Linked DNA regions of Drosophila melanogaster. Changing the gene in region 1 together with any one later gene gives a genetic interaction. Each region holds a gene or a part of one and is shown in the gene's direction. Other genes may lie near its edges.

Evidence for each region.
Region 2: of grim (region 1) and Diap2, changing one suppresses a phenotype caused by changing the other (phenotypic suppression), as found in Drosophila melanogaster (one study listed by BioGRID).
Region 3: of grim (region 1) and Buffy, changing one suppresses a phenotype caused by changing the other (phenotypic suppression), as found in Drosophila melanogaster (2 studies listed by BioGRID).
Region 4: of grim (region 1) and EcR, changing one suppresses a phenotype caused by changing the other (phenotypic suppression), as found in Drosophila melanogaster (2 studies listed by BioGRID).

The regions. Positions count from the first base shown.
Region 1 is NT_037436.4:18,302,210-18,306,009, reverse strand, and holds grim (grim), read left to right. Parts: upstream 1-1,592; 5' UTR 1,593-1,910; coding exon 1,911-2,327; 3' UTR 2,328-3,291; downstream 3,292-3,800. UniProt on the Drosophila melanogaster protein: Activator of apoptosis, independent of rpr and hid, that acts on the effector Dredd.
Region 2 is NT_033778.4:15,931,617-15,936,802, reverse strand, and holds Diap2 (Death-associated inhibitor of apoptosis 2), read left to right. Parts: upstream 1-1,977; 5' UTR 1,978-2,005; intron 2,006-2,085; exon of another isoform or gene 2,086-2,222; 5' UTR 2,223-2,232; coding exon 2,233-2,604; intron 2,605-2,983; coding exon 2,984-4,019; intron 4,020-4,082; coding exon 4,083-4,171; 3' UTR 4,172-4,633; downstream 4,634-5,186. Other genes in the region: Mlf (Myelodysplasia/myeloid leukemia factor), read left to right, coding at 223-343; bug (bunker gear), read right to left, coding at 963-1,822, 1,880-1,907.
Region 3 is NT_033778.4:11,677,920-11,682,541, forward strand, and holds the start of Buffy (buffy), read left to right. Parts: upstream 1-1,572; 5' UTR 1,573-1,667; intron 1,668-4,622. Other genes in the region: Roc2 (regulator of cullins 2), read right to left, coding at 287-446.
Region 4 is NT_033778.4:6,128,783-6,133,664, reverse strand, and holds the start of EcR (ecdysone receptor), read left to right. Parts: upstream 1-1,823; 5' UTR 1,824-2,547; coding exon of another isoform or gene 2,548-2,599; intron 2,600-4,882. UniProt on the Drosophila melanogaster protein: Receptor for ecdysone. Binds to ecdysone response elements (ECRES) following ecdysone-binding, and recruitment of a complex containing the histone methyltransferase trr, leads to activate transcription of target genes.

The DNA.
Region 1 (3,800 bases):
GAAATGCCGGCCGGCACGACCTTGAAGCCAGTTGGGTGAGAAATAAAAAGCTTTTGCCGGTAGGAGACTTGTGGAACATCACCCACAAGTGGCGGACTTGGCCTTGGCGATGGCCTTGTTGGAGCTCCCTCAGCAAAAATGTTACATAGGGGGAGGAAATAAGCTCAATTGGCTTTATGCTTTCCGCTCCCTGGAAGTCCTTTTCTGGAATGTTAAAGTGTTAAATGACATTTATTGAACATTTGGGACAGAGGAGGAGATAATACAATATACTTGTCTAATTAAAAAAAATCGTTATTATGATTTATTCCATATGTAAGATTTTAATTCATCATGATTGTAAATAAATTATATAAAACAAATTCAATAAATTTACATTATTGATAAAATTTATTTTTTCATGAAATTATACCCAAAAATTATTCTCAATTTTTCTTATAATCAGTTTTGCATAAGTATACTTTCTTCATACCCCTCTACCACAGCCACTGCTTTCTTGACTTTGCAACTATCCGGGAACAGCTTATCATAATGGATGAGCTGCAGCTAACGGAAAATGGGGGAGCTGGGATCAAACATTTTCCAAGGTTGAAATTGTCGTCAGCATAATGTTTGAGGGAGCTGGATTCGCGTTAGCTTGAAGGTCAATCCATTTGGGTGCCCTTTGTTATGGTCAAGTTTAAGGCTGCAATAGGGGGAATCTTCAAGGACCATTACGCAAGGTTTTCGCATCAAAGATTTGCCGTGCAAGCTTTTTGAGTTGAAGGATGCTTAACTTGAAAGCGGGTTAGTGGTTCCAAGAGATTTTAGGTGAAGGAGACTCCGCTGTTTTGAAATATATTAAGTATGTAAAGAAGTATACTATAAATAACCCAAAGTGATACAATGTAAGAAAAGATCTCGTTGGTCCCTGGTATAAATTTGTTTGCCATTAATGAATATTGAAAATAATAATTATACTAATAATAGGTACAATAAGCAAGATTAAATTGCATTTAATCACCAAAAATCAGTTTCTATGCGAACCAAAATGTCATAACAAACAATTGTTGATTCATCCGTAGTGAAATCCAAGTTCGAAATTCGAAATGAGCATACGACGACCAAACTTCCCCTCAAAATTGCTAGACTCAGCTAGAGCAAGTACGCCCAAGTTAACCCCTGAAATTCGAAATGAATTCGATGCCGCGCTTCGAACAACGAAATCCCAAAGAGCTTACGTTTTATTTGACGTAGCACTCTTACGTGAAATGATTTTCCCCAATTCCGCTCTCATTTCCCGAGTCTCTCACCGCTTCTCAGCCACTTTCCCACCCCCTTTCTAGTTCCGAAGTAAAGGTAACAAAGGCAGCCGTGTCTTTGGGGTGGTAAACTGGCGGTGGTGGTGGCACATTGTCAGTGGTGTGGGTTCCTGTGGTTGGTGGTTCAATTGGTTGGTTGTTGGCATAAACAAAGCACACACACAATACACACAAACTCCCGGGGGGTGGTGGAAATTGGGAGGGTGACATTCACTGCGAGAGAGGAACTCGCTTCCTATAGGAAAGTACAAAGAGAGCTATTTTATAAATGTGACTGCAGCAAGGATATTTACAGTCAGTCCACTCTGAAACCTCGACGAGAGAACATTGAATAACAAGCGGAAGCGAAAAGCGCAGTTGAAAGTTCGTCAAAAAGCGACAAGTTTCCTCGTTCGTTTTCCCGCCAAATGAGTCAGAAAAATTTTCCAAGTGCTCGATACGAAACATAAAGACTTACAAGACTTAAAGTGCAAGCAGTGAATGGAATATATTATTCCTCAGCGATATTGAAATCAAACATTAAAAATATATGCTACACTAAAGTTATATATTTTTTTAAAGATTCATACGTTTTGTAAAATCACATTTTGTATTAAATTAAATACCGCCATGGCCATCGCCTATTTCATACCCGACCAGGCCCAATTGTTGGCCAGAAGCTATCAGCAAAACGGCCAGCAGACAGCAGCGAGTCCAAGGACAACTGCAACAGCTGCTGCACCATCGCAGCAGCAGCAACAATCGCAACAACAGCAGCAGCAGCAGCGACATCATCATCAGCAACAGCGCCCACAATTCCGTGCCAATATTTCCGTGCCGCTGGGAAGTCAACAGGGATCGATGACCATGTCGGAGTTTGGATGCTGGGATCTTTTGGCCCAGATCTTCTGCTACGCTCTGCGAATCTACAGCTACAGTTCGAGCCAGCGTCAACCGACGGTCATTCAGATATCCTTCGAGATCAGCAGCGGCGGTCAGAACAACGATGAGGACGACGTGACTGATGCCACCTCCAAGGAGAACTAAATTTGGTTTCCATATTTCATCCTGGTGGAGAGAAAATCTTTGGGATTTTCTGGGAAAGGCAGGCTCAATCAAAGCGCATTGTGATTTCTTTTTTGGGTATGGACACATGAGGAGGAACGAGTTTTGTAAAACATGGGATATTTCCACAACAAAATAAGAAAACTATTTTTAAACTATTTTTGAGAGAGAGAAAATTCAAAATTTGTCATCGACTTGCTTAAAGTGATTTTGGTTGTTTGTTACTTTTTTGGATGTCAAATTTTCCGATATAAGTTTTGAAAAAATGTTTAATTTTGCAAGCAAAGGTTTCCCGGTTGGTTCAAATACATAAACATACTTAACAACATTTAGAGAGCATAAAGAGAAATGTGTAAAATTGTCATAAACCTTATTAGTGTCTATACGTATGAGCAAAACCACAAGTATCGTACTCAACTAACAAATAATTGTCAAATTTTCTACTTCAACTACTTCAACTACATTTCAACTACTTACAAATATAAATCGTAAACTAATATTACAGAACTACAATACAGAACCAACAACAAAACAAAGATGCAACCGCAGCAACAAGAATAACAAAAGACAACAACTCAATTGTACAAAATAGATTTTAAGCAAACAGCAAATTTTATATGTTTACAACAAAGAGAGAAAATACAAAACGTCTACAAAAAATAGAATACAAGAACCGCCGAACAGAATACATTTTAACAAAAATTAAACAAAACAACAACAAACATTTAAGCAATTTTGATACGAATAATCAAGAATAACAAAATTTGAAATGTATCTTATCATTATTATTGATTTTAGCAAAATTCAAAACATATTATTTTAATTTTGGCATTGCAAATTAAACAAGAAATATTGAAATTAATCACATGTAAAGATAGCATTTGTAAGAAATTAAAATTTTTATAAGACAAACAAGCAAAAAATAAATACAATTTTATAAAAAATTAAAAAATACTTTGAACGATTATTATTGTCCCTTTTCAGAAAAACATAAAGAATTTTACCAACACCATTGCCGAGATATATATATTTAATTACCTTTTATTTCGGAGGTGTAGAACTCTATTAAAATGTTTTTGAAAAATTATTCGAAGCGTTTTTAAAATATTTTAAAAATAAACTAAAACGTTTTTAAAATAAATTCAAAAGAATATTTATTTGTTTCACCAAAGTTTTTATAAAAAAATACGTCAAAATAATATGAAATTTTGTTTAATACACTCTTTTAATAACCGCTTATGAATTAAGCCTTTGTATTCCATTTTGGGCAATGAAATGGCAAAGGATAACCGTCCTGCCAGGAAAAGGCGGAGTAAGCAAACATTTAGCGATCGCTATCGTCAAAACCAATATGTCACCTTAAAAGGGAAAACACATTTTTGGTTAAGGGCAGACAGAGAATTTTCCCGTCGTGTCATGCCAGGCACACTCCACCCAAAAGGGTTAAAAAGCAAA
Region 2 (5,186 bases), on another chromosome or scaffold:
TGAACGACATAATGCGCGAATCCTACGAATCCATCACTCGCTTGCCCACATCATCCATTAATGCTCCCTTTGACCTTCTCTTCCTGTTAATAAATTTTCACTTGCGTTCGAATTGGCCTGTGTACGAATGATTATTATGTATACCTTTTGTTTTGTATTGTGCCTTATTCTAATTAATCGTTTCTGTTAATTAATGAACATTTGTTTCTGCTCCGCCAGCAGCATACATCCACATCCCTATGCCGCCAATCCGAGGCGCCAACAACGTGCCGTAAAACATTTTCACACGGAGGACGAAGCGGCCAGCTCCTACAAGGCGGTCAAGCGCGGCAAGAAGAAGTAGTAGAAACGTGATCATCTGTATGCCAACATCTTCCGCATCGCACACTCAAAAACACTAGGAAGCAAAGCGTTGGGTTCTGTTCCATAGCAGGAAAACCAATTCAAATATTTTTTAACAAACACAATTCTTTACCAGTTCTGTCTTATCCTGCGTGAGTCGACCAGAATGCAACACTAAAAAATGTACAACTTCAAGATGCTATTGATGTGCACGCAGGATACAGAACAACTTGCTTAAATTTACTTAAAACAAATGTGACTATTCAACGCCGAAATCATTACAACACACACTCTCAGACCTAATCGAAAAATTCAATGAAAGTAATGGAATATATATGAAATCGTAATTATAAGTTTGAATTATTTGATTAATTCTCAAGTTTTTAGATTTTGTTAGCCACTAAGCTTTAAATTATGGATGCCAGTTAGCGTGCAAATGAACACAATTGATTTGAAGGCTCCGAACGATAGAAAACAACAATTACCAATTCCCCAAATACATGTAATTCGTAAGGCCTAAGTAAATGTTAACGTGAATTTAATTAAATGGTAATTACATTATAATAGTAAATCCAGTGTTCTACTTATGCGACTTATAGAGAATTAAACGTATTAACTAACTAGTCCACCATCTCCATTTGCGTCTCCTCGGATTCCCGCCAAATGCGCTGCACCATCTCTACCAGCTGCTTCCAGAGCGCCGTCTTACGCAGGAAGTTGGCAAGGCAGACGAGAATAAAGGCCCAAGCCAGGCCCAAATAGTAATCCGTCTGCACAATGGGTTTATTAGACAGCGGCTCCATCTCTGCGCGAGTGAGGATGATCGGATCAATGGCCTGCGGATTCACAGTCTTCATATTGGTGTGACTCATTATGAAACTGGCAAAGCTGCTCTTTGTGTCCTTCCACCCGGGCTCGAATTTGATTAGCGGCCTGCCCTGGTGGAATAGCATCAGTGTGGGCAGCGAAACGATGCCGAATTCTGCATTGAAACGACCAAACTCATAGGCATCCACATAGGCGATGGGTAGCGTGGGAAAGTAATGGGGCAGCACGTTGACCATCGAAGCCACACGAGCGCACTCCAAGCTGGATGCGGTGCAGAAATGGACAAGTACACAGTTGCCCGGCTCGTGGCGCTTGGTGGCATTGCCCATGGGCTTAAGCAGATTCACTATATCCTTGGCACTGCGCATTATCAGCAGTTCCGGCTCGGATGCTGTCTCATTCTCGATATCCCGCTGCAGGCACTTCATCATAATAGGTGGCTTTCGAACCGGAGGCAGCTGGTTTAGGTGCATGATGTGCTCGTCATCCGGGGCACATGTGTGTCGCTCCTTCAGCAAGGTTTCGAAGCTATAATGGCACTGGCCCCGCGAAACTCCCAGGGAATACACCGTCAAATTTGAGAAGAGCCCGAAATACTGGAGGGCACTTAGTAATCCGGAGAGTTCCGCCTGGCCCTGCGCGGCGCAGAGCACTGTGGAAGTGGTATAATGTTACTGATTGAAGAACTCGATATAAATAAATAACGTACAAAATACAAACAAGAGATTTTGGTTCATTATATCGTTGGTTGGACAGCTGTTGAAATAGTTGGCTGTTATATGGCACTCGTGAAATACCTGGAAACTTCTTAGGTTTGGATATACCGAATAGCAAGGTAAACTGCTTGACCTTGTTTTTGTAAGCAGTGCCCATTAAGTTGGTATTTCATCGATGAAACATTGACGATGTATCGAAAAACATCGATGCTTATTTTTACATCGCTACAATAAGTTTATATTTTTACCTTACCTTATTTTCATTTTCGTCTGCGCTCGCTGGTGATTCCCTTGGTGGCATTACATCATTGGTGGATCCATTCGGATCCAATTTAGAAGCGCCACGATGACGGAGCTGGGCATGGAGCTGGAGAGCGTTCGCCTGGCGACATTTGGGGAATGGCCCCTGAATGCCCCAGTTTCCGCGGAGGATCTGGTCGCCAATGGTTTCTTTGCCACGGGAAACTGGCTGGAGGCCGAGTGCCATTTCTGCCACGTGCGCATCGACCGCTGGGAATACGGCGATCAAGTGGCGGAGCGCCATCGCCGCTCCTCGCCCATCTGCTCCATGGTTCTGGCTCCCAATCACTGCGGCAATGTTCCCAGGAGCCAGGAGAGCGACAACGAGGGAAACAGCGTAGTGGACAGCCCGGAGTCCTGCTCTTGTCCCGATCTCTTGTTGGAGGCCAATCGCTTGGTAACTTTCAAGGACTGGCCGGTGAGTACCCTGAGCTGGTGTCGCTCGCTTCTGGTGATTCACCATAGCGGGTCATTGTAATCACTATAGTTTCAGTTTCAAGCTCACTATAAGTGCATATGTAAGTATGATTGCGTAGTTAAAAAGTAGCGTAAATGAGGCCAGGAAAATCCCGGTCGAAAGTATCAATGATATTTTTGTATACAAACAAGAAATGTCTTGTTAGCTGCCTCAATTCAGCTGAATGTTGATTGATAATCCTACGAAATTAAGCTTTAATTAAGATATACAAAAATCATTATGAACTTCAAATGAAGTTATTGTATACTGTATAATTTCAAATATTTTTAATGACTGAATAAGATAGTTTAACTTTAGCCCAAAACGTCTTCCTTTGTAGAATCCCAACATCACGCCGCAGGCTCTGGCAAAGGCAGGTTTCTACTACCTGAACCGTCTGGATCACGTGAAGTGTGTTTGGTGCAACGGAGTGATTGCCAAGTGGGAGAAGAACGACAATGCCTTTGAAGAGCACAAGCGCTTTTTTCCCCAATGTCCTCGTGTGCAAATGGGCCCCCTTATAGAGTTTGCCACCGGGAAGAACCTGGATGAGCTGGGCATCCAGCCCACCACTCTGCCACTGCGTCCCAAGTACGCCTGCGTGGACGCCAGATTGAGAACCTTCACCGATTGGCCCATTTCCAATATTCAGCCCGCTTCGGCTTTGGCGCAGGCTGGCCTATATTATCAGAAAATAGGCGACCAGGTGCGCTGTTTCCACTGCAACATTGGATTGCGCTCCTGGCAGAAGGAGGACGAGCCGTGGTTCGAACACGCCAAGTGGTCGCCAAAGTGTCAGTTCGTTTTGCTGGCCAAGGGTCCAGCCTATGTAAGCGAAGTGCTCGCGACAACAGCTGCCAACGCCAGTTCCCAGCCAGCAACTGCTCCGGCTCCAACGCTCCAAGCAGACGTACTGATGGATGAAGCTCCGGCCAAGGAGGCCCTAGCCTTGGGTATCGATGGAGGAGTTGTGCGCAATGCCATCCAGCGCAAGCTCTTGAGTTCCGGCTGCGCTTTCTCTACGTTGGACGAACTATTGCATGACATCTTTGACGATGCGGGCGCAGGAGCTGCACTGGAGGTGCGCGAGCCGCCGGAGCCAAGTGCTCCTTTTATTGAACCATGTCAGGCCACCACCAGCAAGGCAGCATCTGTGCCAATACCGGTGGCCGATTCCATCCCAGCCAAACCACAGGCAGCTGAAGCAGTGGCGAATATATCGAAAATCACAGACGAAATACAAAAGATGTCGGTGGCCACGCCGAACGGAAACCTATCGCTGGAGGAGGAAAACCGCCAGCTAAAGGATGCACGCTTATGCAAGGTATGCTTGGACGAGGAGGTTGGCGTAGTGTTCCTGCCCTGTGGCCACTTGGGTAAGTCGCTGAACTATACCTTGATTGCCTTGAGCTGTAGCTAACTTCCTGTTAACCCGACAGCCACCTGCAATCAGTGCGCCCCCAGTGTAGCCAATTGTCCCATGTGCCGCGCAGACATCAAGGGATTCGTGCGCACGTTCCTTTCGTGAAGTGCATATCGACATCATTTAGAGTTCACCAGCCTAGTTAGCAGTTAAGCAAATCGATTGATTGCACCCACACAAACTACTACAGCGAAGTTCAAATTATCCGGTGATTAGCTAATATAATCGTCTACTAATCGTCTACTAAGTACTTGGCCAACTGCAGCTATTCGTTTTTACATTAGCTACGGTTGTAAGTTGTCGTTACTAACTATCGCATTGTGTCCGAGCGCATCCCTTTTGAACCATACATTATGCACGCTGAAATGACCTTATATAGATGAGCAGCTCTAATTCGCGCTGAAAAGGGTATCAATGCACCGGCACGACCGCAGATCACATGGATTTCTTGTTATAGTACTCTTATTAACACATGTATGTATTTTTGTTGATCATGTTTATAGGCCGCTGATAGTATGGTTTACACACAACTATATGCATTCTCCAATAAATGTATATGTAAATGTTAAAAAATTTGTCTTTTCAATTGCAAAAATTCTTTAAAATAATTTATTTATTTTGCTAAGTTTTAAATCCCAACGGTCTTCAAGTGATGTGCCCCGAGAGATTAGCCTATTAGCTTGCAACAGTCTGATTCCACTGCTCACAACTATCTCGATATCATCGCCATGCACGGTTCGATACTATCGATAGTAGCATCGATGTTTTGACGGCTCTACTCAAAAGTACCAAAATATTGGTATCCAAGCAATCGTTTTCAGCTCTCCGCGTGAAGTCGTGTGCGCTGCTCGTAAGGGAGCTCCATTGAGTTCTGGTCGCGAAAAACTAACAAGCTCCAACGCCAAGAAGTGCAGAAGATAGTGAACAAAATTTAGAAGAACCGAACCGAAGCTACGGGGAATTTTATGTGTGAAATCGAAATTACCAAACGCGCGCTCGTGTGAGTATATTCTGCGAGTATTTCAAAGGAAGAGTTCAAGTGTGTGTGTGTGTGTCTGGTGTTGCTGCTGCATTTTACGGAGTGTGGGCGCTTTATGCTCTTTATAGTGTGGTGTGGCAA
Region 3 (4,622 bases), on another chromosome or scaffold:
GAGATGCGTTCAAACCAAATAGTAGGGTGGTGTCTTCGTGCTTAAATTGTGAATTTTTAGGCAAGCGCAATAAATCAAAATTACCGTTGAAAAATACACCAATTGAAAGTTTTTAGGCACTTATGTATATGTGAGTAAAAAACATTTTCGCTTGCGATATGCACAAGATAGTGTTAACAAAGACACCAGTATAATAATATTCTAGTTACATATTGTTACATATGTAGGACCTTTTATTATTATTAATACTCAAGATTAGAGTTTTGAAATCAGTGGTATTGCTCACCCATAACTTGAACACGGCAAATGGCACAGATATCGCATTCCACATCCCAACTCCACATTGCAACTGCGTTCCATTTCTTCAGCGTAAACATTTTTTCCGGTTTGCCGGCATCTCCGTCGTCTGTGGGCCTATCCACTGAGTTTTCTGGATCATCAGCCATGTCAAAAAAGTCTGGGAAACTGACCAATCCACTGGGCTAATGAGATTCGGTTTTTTAATATTTTTTTTTTGTTTCTTGTGTATATCCTCCTGTATGGGAGATTTTAATTAGTATTACAAATAGCGGTTTAAAAATGTTTTTTAATTTTACAATACAATATATTAATTTTTTAAGGTTCTTTTATTTTTAATTTCCCTTTAATGTTTTATGTTTTTATTTTTATTTGGTAAACAATTTTAAGTTTTATTCGACCCCGTTTTTAAATATTTTTCTAACTGTTAATTTATAGGGTATTAGAAACTCTAAACCGGACCTATCTTAGTTATTGATTATTAGCAAATGGCAAAGTGGTCTAACCAGGTCCGGACATCAGTACGTAACTCAGGTTTAGGATTTTAAATAAGGTAATTATACAAATATTAGGAATATTACTCGAAAAATATGCTTAATAGGCGTAGGAGAGCTACAAGTAGAAAAGTTCAAAAATGATCAACAGGTGTTGCTTCCTTCCAACTGGTGGCGATAATTCTACGAACAAACGGTATATTAGTATTAGGGAACAGAGTAACGGGTATCTGATAGTTGAGCCATTCGACTAAGCGCATTCTTCTTGATTGTTTTTTGTTTTATGAATATTGGTAGCTGCGGAATAGGGGGATAGACTATAAAGCCTCTCACTTATCCCTGGTAAAAATGTAATTTACTTTCGTAGCAAGTGGCTGATACGAATTTTAATGTTTTGCTCAACTTGCCAAAAAGTTACTTCTTCCTCCGAGAACAAAGAAATGCCATTCTCAGTTGTATACGAAGGAAAGGTTATCACAGTGTTCGTTAAGTTGTTAACCTCACTCCTACTTCTTGCTTAGTTTCGGGCAAATGATAAGGAACCGCCGGTTTGACTTACCAACAAATAAGAAGTCGAAATAATTGAATGTAAACAATAGCAAGCCAAAAGTCAGTGTGGCCACACCAAAACAAGGGAAAACTATTTTCAGTGTTGCCACAGCCATTTAGGGGATACATTCACCTTATATGCACGGACACACCTATCGACGACCGATAATTAAATATCGATAAGGCGGTTAATTTGTTTTGTGATTTGGTTTTCGCTTACTTCAACTTCGGTTCAATTCATTTTCAGCCTTCGACGAGTGCGGAACGTTTGCGGCAGCGTTTTTCGGCCGCGCTTCTCAAGTTTCAGCTTGCGTTGGGAAATAAACGGTTGGTTTCCAATGCACTAACACAAATTTGACAATATAAATTATTTGCGGTTTCCGGTGATTACTTTAAAATGAAAACCTTCGAACGACAAAAGCTGACCGTGAATATACAGCAACCTGATTCCGATTCCGTTGCCAACCAGAACGCGCCCCGCATAAGTAATTAAGTAATTTCCATGCCGCTCAGCCGGAATCTAACAGTTCAGCCTTATTATTCGCCCATCGTAAACTGAAATTGAAAAAGATAATGGCAAATGACCCATTATCACTATCAGCACAAATGGCGCATCCGACAATCAAAGATAAACATCCCGTATCAATGCGATCCGATGCCAAATGTGCGATAAGCCGATTAAGGGAGTGGTATTTTAGTAAATAAATGTGGAGAAATTAGTTGTTTTTCACAGTAAGCAATAAATTTTCAAATAGCAAATGTAAAATCTACATAAGCCTTACAAAATGACGACGTGTTAAATGCCAATTAAGAGCAAATATCACCTGTGGCTAATGAAAATGTGCAATTTAATACAACCGCAAACAAATGTGGAAGTAACAAATAATGAAAATTTAAACAGATAAAGGTCATTTCGTAGACTTAAACACAAATGAGTGTCAAAAGCGATACGGATAAATATCAATAATTGCAAAATAAAACCCTTGAGTTGAACGCCCTTTTTTTTAACCGGAATAAAGAAGTAGCAGCTGAAGGAGAAACAGGCCAACAGCAAGTTTAATTTAATTAAATTTCGTTGTTTTCTGTGTGCGTGTGTGAGTGTGTTGTTGTTGCTTTTGTTGTTGGCTTTGCTGGATAATCAACGTAATGCTTCCACCCACATCGCGCGAAAGAGATAGCACTAGCGCAATTGACTTTGCCATAAATGATTTTTGGTTTTTTTTCTGCTATTTCTTTCTTGTTTTTTCATGCTTTTCTGTTTGTTTGTTTGTTTGTAAGTTGGTCGCTGGCAATTAGTGGAACGACAAATGTTTATTGACAAAGGCATTGGACACTTTGATTTACCGGGTCTATTCGGTTAAATTGTTTATGATTTTTAAGCGAAAATTATAGATATATGTACATGTGTATGTACATATGGGGGTGTTGTATCTCAGAGATATCGATGGTAAATGTGACACTTTGTGGGTGTATCTATAATCGTATAAAGTGGAACTCTAGTCGCTAAAAAATAAAATCAAACTCTTAAAGGCAGTTTTGTTTTCCTTATAAGCTAGATCGATAAATTTCCACAGCTTACCAGTAAATTTTCATTTAGAGCAGTTTCGAGTATATACAAAAGTGTTTAAAATTTTGCATGTGAAACTATAGCAAAGTTTCGAACATGTACATATAAATTTCAGAAAGCATATTTTAACAGGTTGTACATATATTCAAGATTTGAATGTCATAATTCATTTCAAAAGTAACTATCTGGTATATTTAAAAACCAAATTCCATCACAAAAGTGTGTTTATTTAATGTTTAAAAATGCCAATAAATGCTCAATTGCAACACCCATTTTCCAAGTATGAGTGCAAATGTTTTAGGGATTTCGAACAAGATCACTTCATGCCCCCGATGCCACAAAGCCTCGAGAAGTAAATGCAATTAACTGGCGAAAAGCACTTGCGCCCCCTTGCCCCTCCCTTTAGACCATATTAACTTGGCTTTAACGCCGTGCACGTTCGATTTGAATGACGCACATTGGCGGCTGAATGGTTGAAAAAGTGCAAAATCAACAATTAATGAACTGAACAATGTTTGCCACCTGTAACGTCTGAGGATGGTGTAAATTTCCAATTGCAAACGATGTCAAACAGAGGCGTTTTACCGTCTGCTAATTTCCCATTTTCATTTCAAGCCGAATGGCCACAAATAATACAACAAAAAATAATGAAATAATAATAATACAACAAAAAGCAGTAAAACCGCAAGATTGCGGCTATTTGCAAGCACTTTATGTGTCGTTTATGATATAGTATTACTATGCGCTGTCACTTCGGTCCGGCGATCAAATATGCAATTAAATGTAAAAAAAAAAAAAAAAATGGCAATTTAATGAACCCACATTTGATTAACCAATCAGCAGTCGAAAGTCAAATTGCTCCAAATCGCTTGTCATGCGCTCCGCGAATTTGATTCAAGCAAACAAACTGAGAGATACAAAAAGATATGCGAAATTCCAATACGGAGTCTGCGTAACTGTCAAATGTTGTAAAAAATCAATAACACAAATGTTAACATGCGCACAATGCTAAAAACGCATAAAAACGAGTCGAGCGGCCAATAAGGTTGGCAAAAAATGGCAAAACAAAAAATGAAATCAAATAAAATGAAATGAAATGAAATGCCTGGCGACGCTTTAAGGCAACTCGGTTTGGGCCAATCCAAGCCCGAGATAAAGCATTTGACACTTTTGGCTAATAAAAGTTGCTAATGAGTGCGCGCAACTCGCCGATTCCGAGTTGTTGATTTAGTTATATTTTTTGTGATCCGGCCAATCGGAAAGCATTAATAATTGGGTGTTGAGAGAGCAGTTTTACTGCACTAATTGTGCATAAATAAATAACAGCTTGTGTAATCCAATTAATTTGCAAATAGTTAAGTTGAATCGCCGAGGGAGAAGTTATCAAATGGGTAGGCTGTCTAGAAGTTAAAAGGCTATTTTATTTCCTTTAAATTGCTGTATTTTTATGAAAATACAGGTATACAAATTAAAGTTCAGGCATATTAAAAATGAAATTAAAAATAATAAAAGTTATTAACTGCTTAACCAAGAAAGAGATCATATATGTACATATATACATTTTCTAAGCATTTTATGTTTCGTGGTTTAAGAAGTATTATATATAATCTTGCATTTGAAATATGACATACGATTATGACATGTTTTCAAATTTATGGTTTTCGAAGTTCTTTTCATTTTTAATTATTGGATTTTTTAATATAAAGAATTTCTTT
Region 4 (4,882 bases), on another chromosome or scaffold:
ATACATGTTGCACCCATACTCTAAGCAATTGCTCCAGTGTACTACTGAACTGAGAGTCGTTTGGCAGTCGGCCAAGAGGGAAAAGGATAGTGGAGGAGAGGGGAACGAGACGTGTGGAGGAGTGGAGAATGTGGGGAAGGACGAAAGAGAAGAAAATCATCATAGACGCAGTTATGGGTTGCAGCTGTGTTTGTATTGGTATACCCAAACAAATAGAAGTAGAGAAACATAGGAAGAGATAGAGAGAGGCAAAGTCTCTTTCACGCCCCCGACACCAAGCCGCTGCCGTCCCCACTACTCAGCTGTCATTGTTGATATTTTGTGTTTTCATCTTGAACTTTTGTGGTTCAATGTGTCTAGCCAACCCCAAACAGAGCGAAACTCACCACATGCTAACCACTGTCACCGTCAGTACGACCACCCCCACAGTCCCGCACCACCTTGCCCTTGCATTTTGCCGGCTTTTCTATGCGTATGCGTAGAGAGCGAGGTCGTCTCTCTCGCTCTGGCAAATGCAATTCTCTATTGCATTCTACACTTGAACTTGCCCAGCGTCAACTCAACGCACACAGCGACGTTAAGTAAATACGTAGCGATTCGAATGATGGGGCTGGTGGTGGGGGGAAGGGATGGGCAAACAATTATCTGCAGCGATGTGTGCGTATCTGTATCTGAGTATCTCAGCTCGCTTTGCGCTGACTTTTTAACCACAATGTATTCGAAACGTGCAATTTATACGTCGCCCAGCAGACGGCGGTGATACGTGTATGTGTATGTATACATACGTACATACTCATAGATACTGTTGTGGCTGTTAGTTTGATCTGCGTTCTGTTTACCCTCCTGGTGATCTTTTTCCTTTCCGTCAATTACGTCTCGTAGTGTCAATATTCTGCTTCAAACAGCGGTGTCTACTGACTTCAGGTGGATTTCCCTTCCAACGAATGGAAAACAGTCCTTCGGAGGACTCTCTATGGTTTTCTAACTCGATCTTATTTATTATTCATTCAGCTGACGTGAGAAAGTATTTTTGGCCACATGAAACGTTTTCATTGTTTTCTTGTTGAGATATTTGCTACATATATGTATTCAAATAATAAAGTTTAAAGGGACACTGAAAAATGCAATTGATGTTAGAGATTATTGAAAATAAAACTTGGAATGTATCGAAAAGGTGAAGTAGAGAGACTGTAATTTAAGCTAAATATTTCAACTTATCCTACTTTTAATTATTGCAAGTTGTGGCACTCCTTCCGATTTATTATGGACCCTTTCGTCCCACTATGCGAGAATATTTCAAATGTACGTACATACGTGTGAATTTGCACTTGTGCACCCGAAAGTAGCGATGAACGAAAACGAACGAAAAAAAAAAACAATAAATAAATGTAGAAAACCGAAAATAAAGCAGCAAGAAATGAAAGCGATGATGGCACTCATACTCACGCATACACGGCCATATACGCTCGCACACAACTCACAGATACGTGCCGGAGAGCGGACAAAGAGTATTCCACGATTGCAATTGCATCGGCATTTTCATTCAAGCCGCTTGCTCAGAGTGTGTGTCTGTGGCTGTGTGAGTGAGTGCTGCCTGCGTTTCACATTTATCTTTAGCGCCGATTCCGCTTTTAACTCTCGCTCTTTTAGCGCCATGGTGTGCGTGTCTGGTGAGTTTACTTTGGTGTGCGTGCCAGTGTGGTGAGTTTGAGCGTTTAACATTCTGCTCGTCTCGCTCATTGATTTAGTATTTTTTTGGACTTTGTTGTTAACGGTTGTTCGCTCGCACGTACGAAGCCCGATCGCGTTCGTCAAAAAACAAGATACAAAATACAGCACACACAATTGAAAACGACAACCTAACAGTACGGTTTCCCAAAGCACCTTACATTTCAAAACCGAAAACCCCCAAAATGTTGTAACCAAATAATGTTTAAATCACATATACACCTACATATATTTATGAAAAATTGTTAGACAAATCCCAAATAATACCAGTTCCCCCAACAACCGCAACAAACACAAGTGCAATTCATCGGCAAAAATTAATATAAAGTGCAAATGCATTGTAGCTGAAACTCAAACAATAGTAAAAATACATACATAAGTGGTGAAGAAGCAAAAGGAAATAGTTCTTAAAATAACGCAAATCGAGAGCATATATTCATATTTGTACAGATATTATATGGCGGCTGCATAGTGCAAACTGCGGCTGAGGGAATACAGCGGTATCGAAATGTAAATAGGAAACAACGAAGCCAGAACTCGAAATCAAACATCAGCAACGTGACACACAGACATAAGACGCCCGTCTAGTCGTGGTCTGTGGAACGCTAGCTCCGCTTTGCCAGGAGCCGGAGACTTTTTCCGCATCCACAATATTACATATGTACATATATCGAAGATAGTGCGCGAGTGAGTGAGGGATTTGTGCCGTGGATCCCGATCCCCTTACATATATATAAAGGTAGTGAAAAGATTTTACTCAACATTCCAAATAGTGCTTTGTCAACTGGAATACCTTTTGTTCAAATACGCAGTGGGCCCATGGATACTTGTGGATTAGTAGCAGAACTGGCGCACTATATCGACGCATATGGTGAGTGTGGGCACCTTGGAATCCAATAGAACCAAGCGCTTTTCCATAACAACATTTTGTGGTCAACTGCTTAACGAAAGATCTGAGTTAGGCAACAAGTTCGCTGTTCGGAGCCGAAAACTATTTTCGATTTGTTCAGGCCCTAATGTGTTTGTCTTGGCGCACTTGTCACTTCGCGTGCGCAAAATCAATTTCCATTTCTTATTCATCCAGCCGAAATGAAAACTACATTACCATTAGATCTTTTCAATGCCAAGATACACAGATCATATGTTCGCATAGCTGAATACATGCTGTACATACAGACATTATGATGTCCCAAAAAGATACACATGCTTGGGATGGGGGTTCGATTGGCAATACATTAATTATGGTCATGACAACTGACAGACGGTCAAGACAGAACGTTGAAAATTGTGTATTTCGCCTGCGTAAACATAATCAAGCCTCTTTCGGGCCACCATAGATCCCCGGTGTAGACGAATATGTGCATGTCGGTCTAGGAAAGCACTCGACTGCGTAATTGGCATGTATTTCCATAAATTCAAGTGGGCATTCAGTGAATTCAGCCAACAGATTTACTCTGATTTTCACATATATTCTGTTGATAAGGTTTAATTCGGTGTAAAACGTATTCGATTTATTAAGTGCCGAAAGAACGCTCAAAAATGATTCGATACAGATTGGGCACTTGAATCGTGTTGGAGAAGGTAAAATTGTGGAACATGTAAATGCTGTTCGTCTGAAGAGACTTCACTTTTTGGATCCAATGACTTCAATTGTTAAATGTTCAATTCTACAATAAATGTGTAGTATTTATTTATCTTATTTTTGGTATATTGTTTAATAGGTACTGCGATATATTATTATACATTATAAGGCGAGTCCTCTTGTGCGCTTGGGCTTCCCTATTTTAAAGCGCCTAATGAGGCATTAGGTAACAGCATTAGGTTTGCGCTTAGGTTCCAGTAAAGTCCCCAACATTAGTTTGACTCTCCCACAATTAATTTGTTCCATCCCCCCGACGACACAGACTTACCGCCACCCGTTGGCCTTCGTTTCCTGGGCGGGTCTGGTTAAACTTTCGACTTCATGGCTCTGTTTTTTGATACCCTTTACTCACACAGCATTTAAGTTCTAACGATGACTGAGCTGTGCAAGTTTATTTTTAGTCTCGGCCAAGTCCAATCTAAAGCTCCTAGAAATTCGAATAAGCTCAAAAGCCCTAAGCTGGGTTTTTAAATGAAATTCCTCTACAGGATGCACATAATTCAGAATTGTAGATTTAGTTTTAAACGTGCTAGCGGGTATCTTTTAGTCGAAGCACTCGACTAAAGATTCTCTTTTCCAACTGCTTTTTGCACATTAAGTTTTTCGCTATTTCTTCTTTGCTACACTTTCTGGACACAAACAAAGAGCACAAAAAAAGTAACTTATATCCTATGGCGTCGACAACTTCGTCTTCGCTGCTGTTGTTTATGTTTTATGGGACATTAAAGTGGCCAAATGGCAAATTTTAATGCGATTTTATGCAAATATATAGACACATGTATGTCTATACATGGGATTCAGTGTTGTGGCTTCGCCCAGGCTGAGAAAACCGAGTTACCAGTGCTTTTATGTCGAACCCTCTATGCATTTTTACAATAGTTTGGGGTTCTTAGCTAAATGACTTTGACATGAAGAAATTATACAAGCAAATGGAAACGATCAAAAGATCTGCTTAGTGTTCTGAAAGTCCTACCACAGACATAACAACAATTATGACTACCAAATCCGCACGAATTAAAATGACCCTGGATAATCGAAATACCTTATTTTATATCACAACTGTTTCCAAAGTGTCACACACAACCCCCCTTTAAAAAGGTTCAATGTAACCGCGTCTGGGGGCGACGATACTAATGGGTGCAGACCAGTGGGTCACGAGACAGAACACCACTCCGTTCTTCATCCCCTGGATGGAAATGGGGAACGGGAATGGCAGAAATGGCAAACAGGTGCCATTGTATGTGCTCTTGTATCAATTGCATTGAGTGCCTTATCTTGTCAGCCTTTTCTAGCTGGTTTTCCTTCCCGTTCGGTCTGGATGGACCTAATTTGTGTATGTGCGGTTAAGAGTAGCCTGCCATAAAGCAATCGAGCTTGGAATGAGTTGTGCCTTCTCCCCGACGCTCTTGTGGACTTTCACAGACCAGCAACAAAGTCGAGCTGCCAACACTTTCGCAGACAATCGCCAATGACAGAGAGTTTCCATGACTTTCCACAGTCCAGACAAAACAA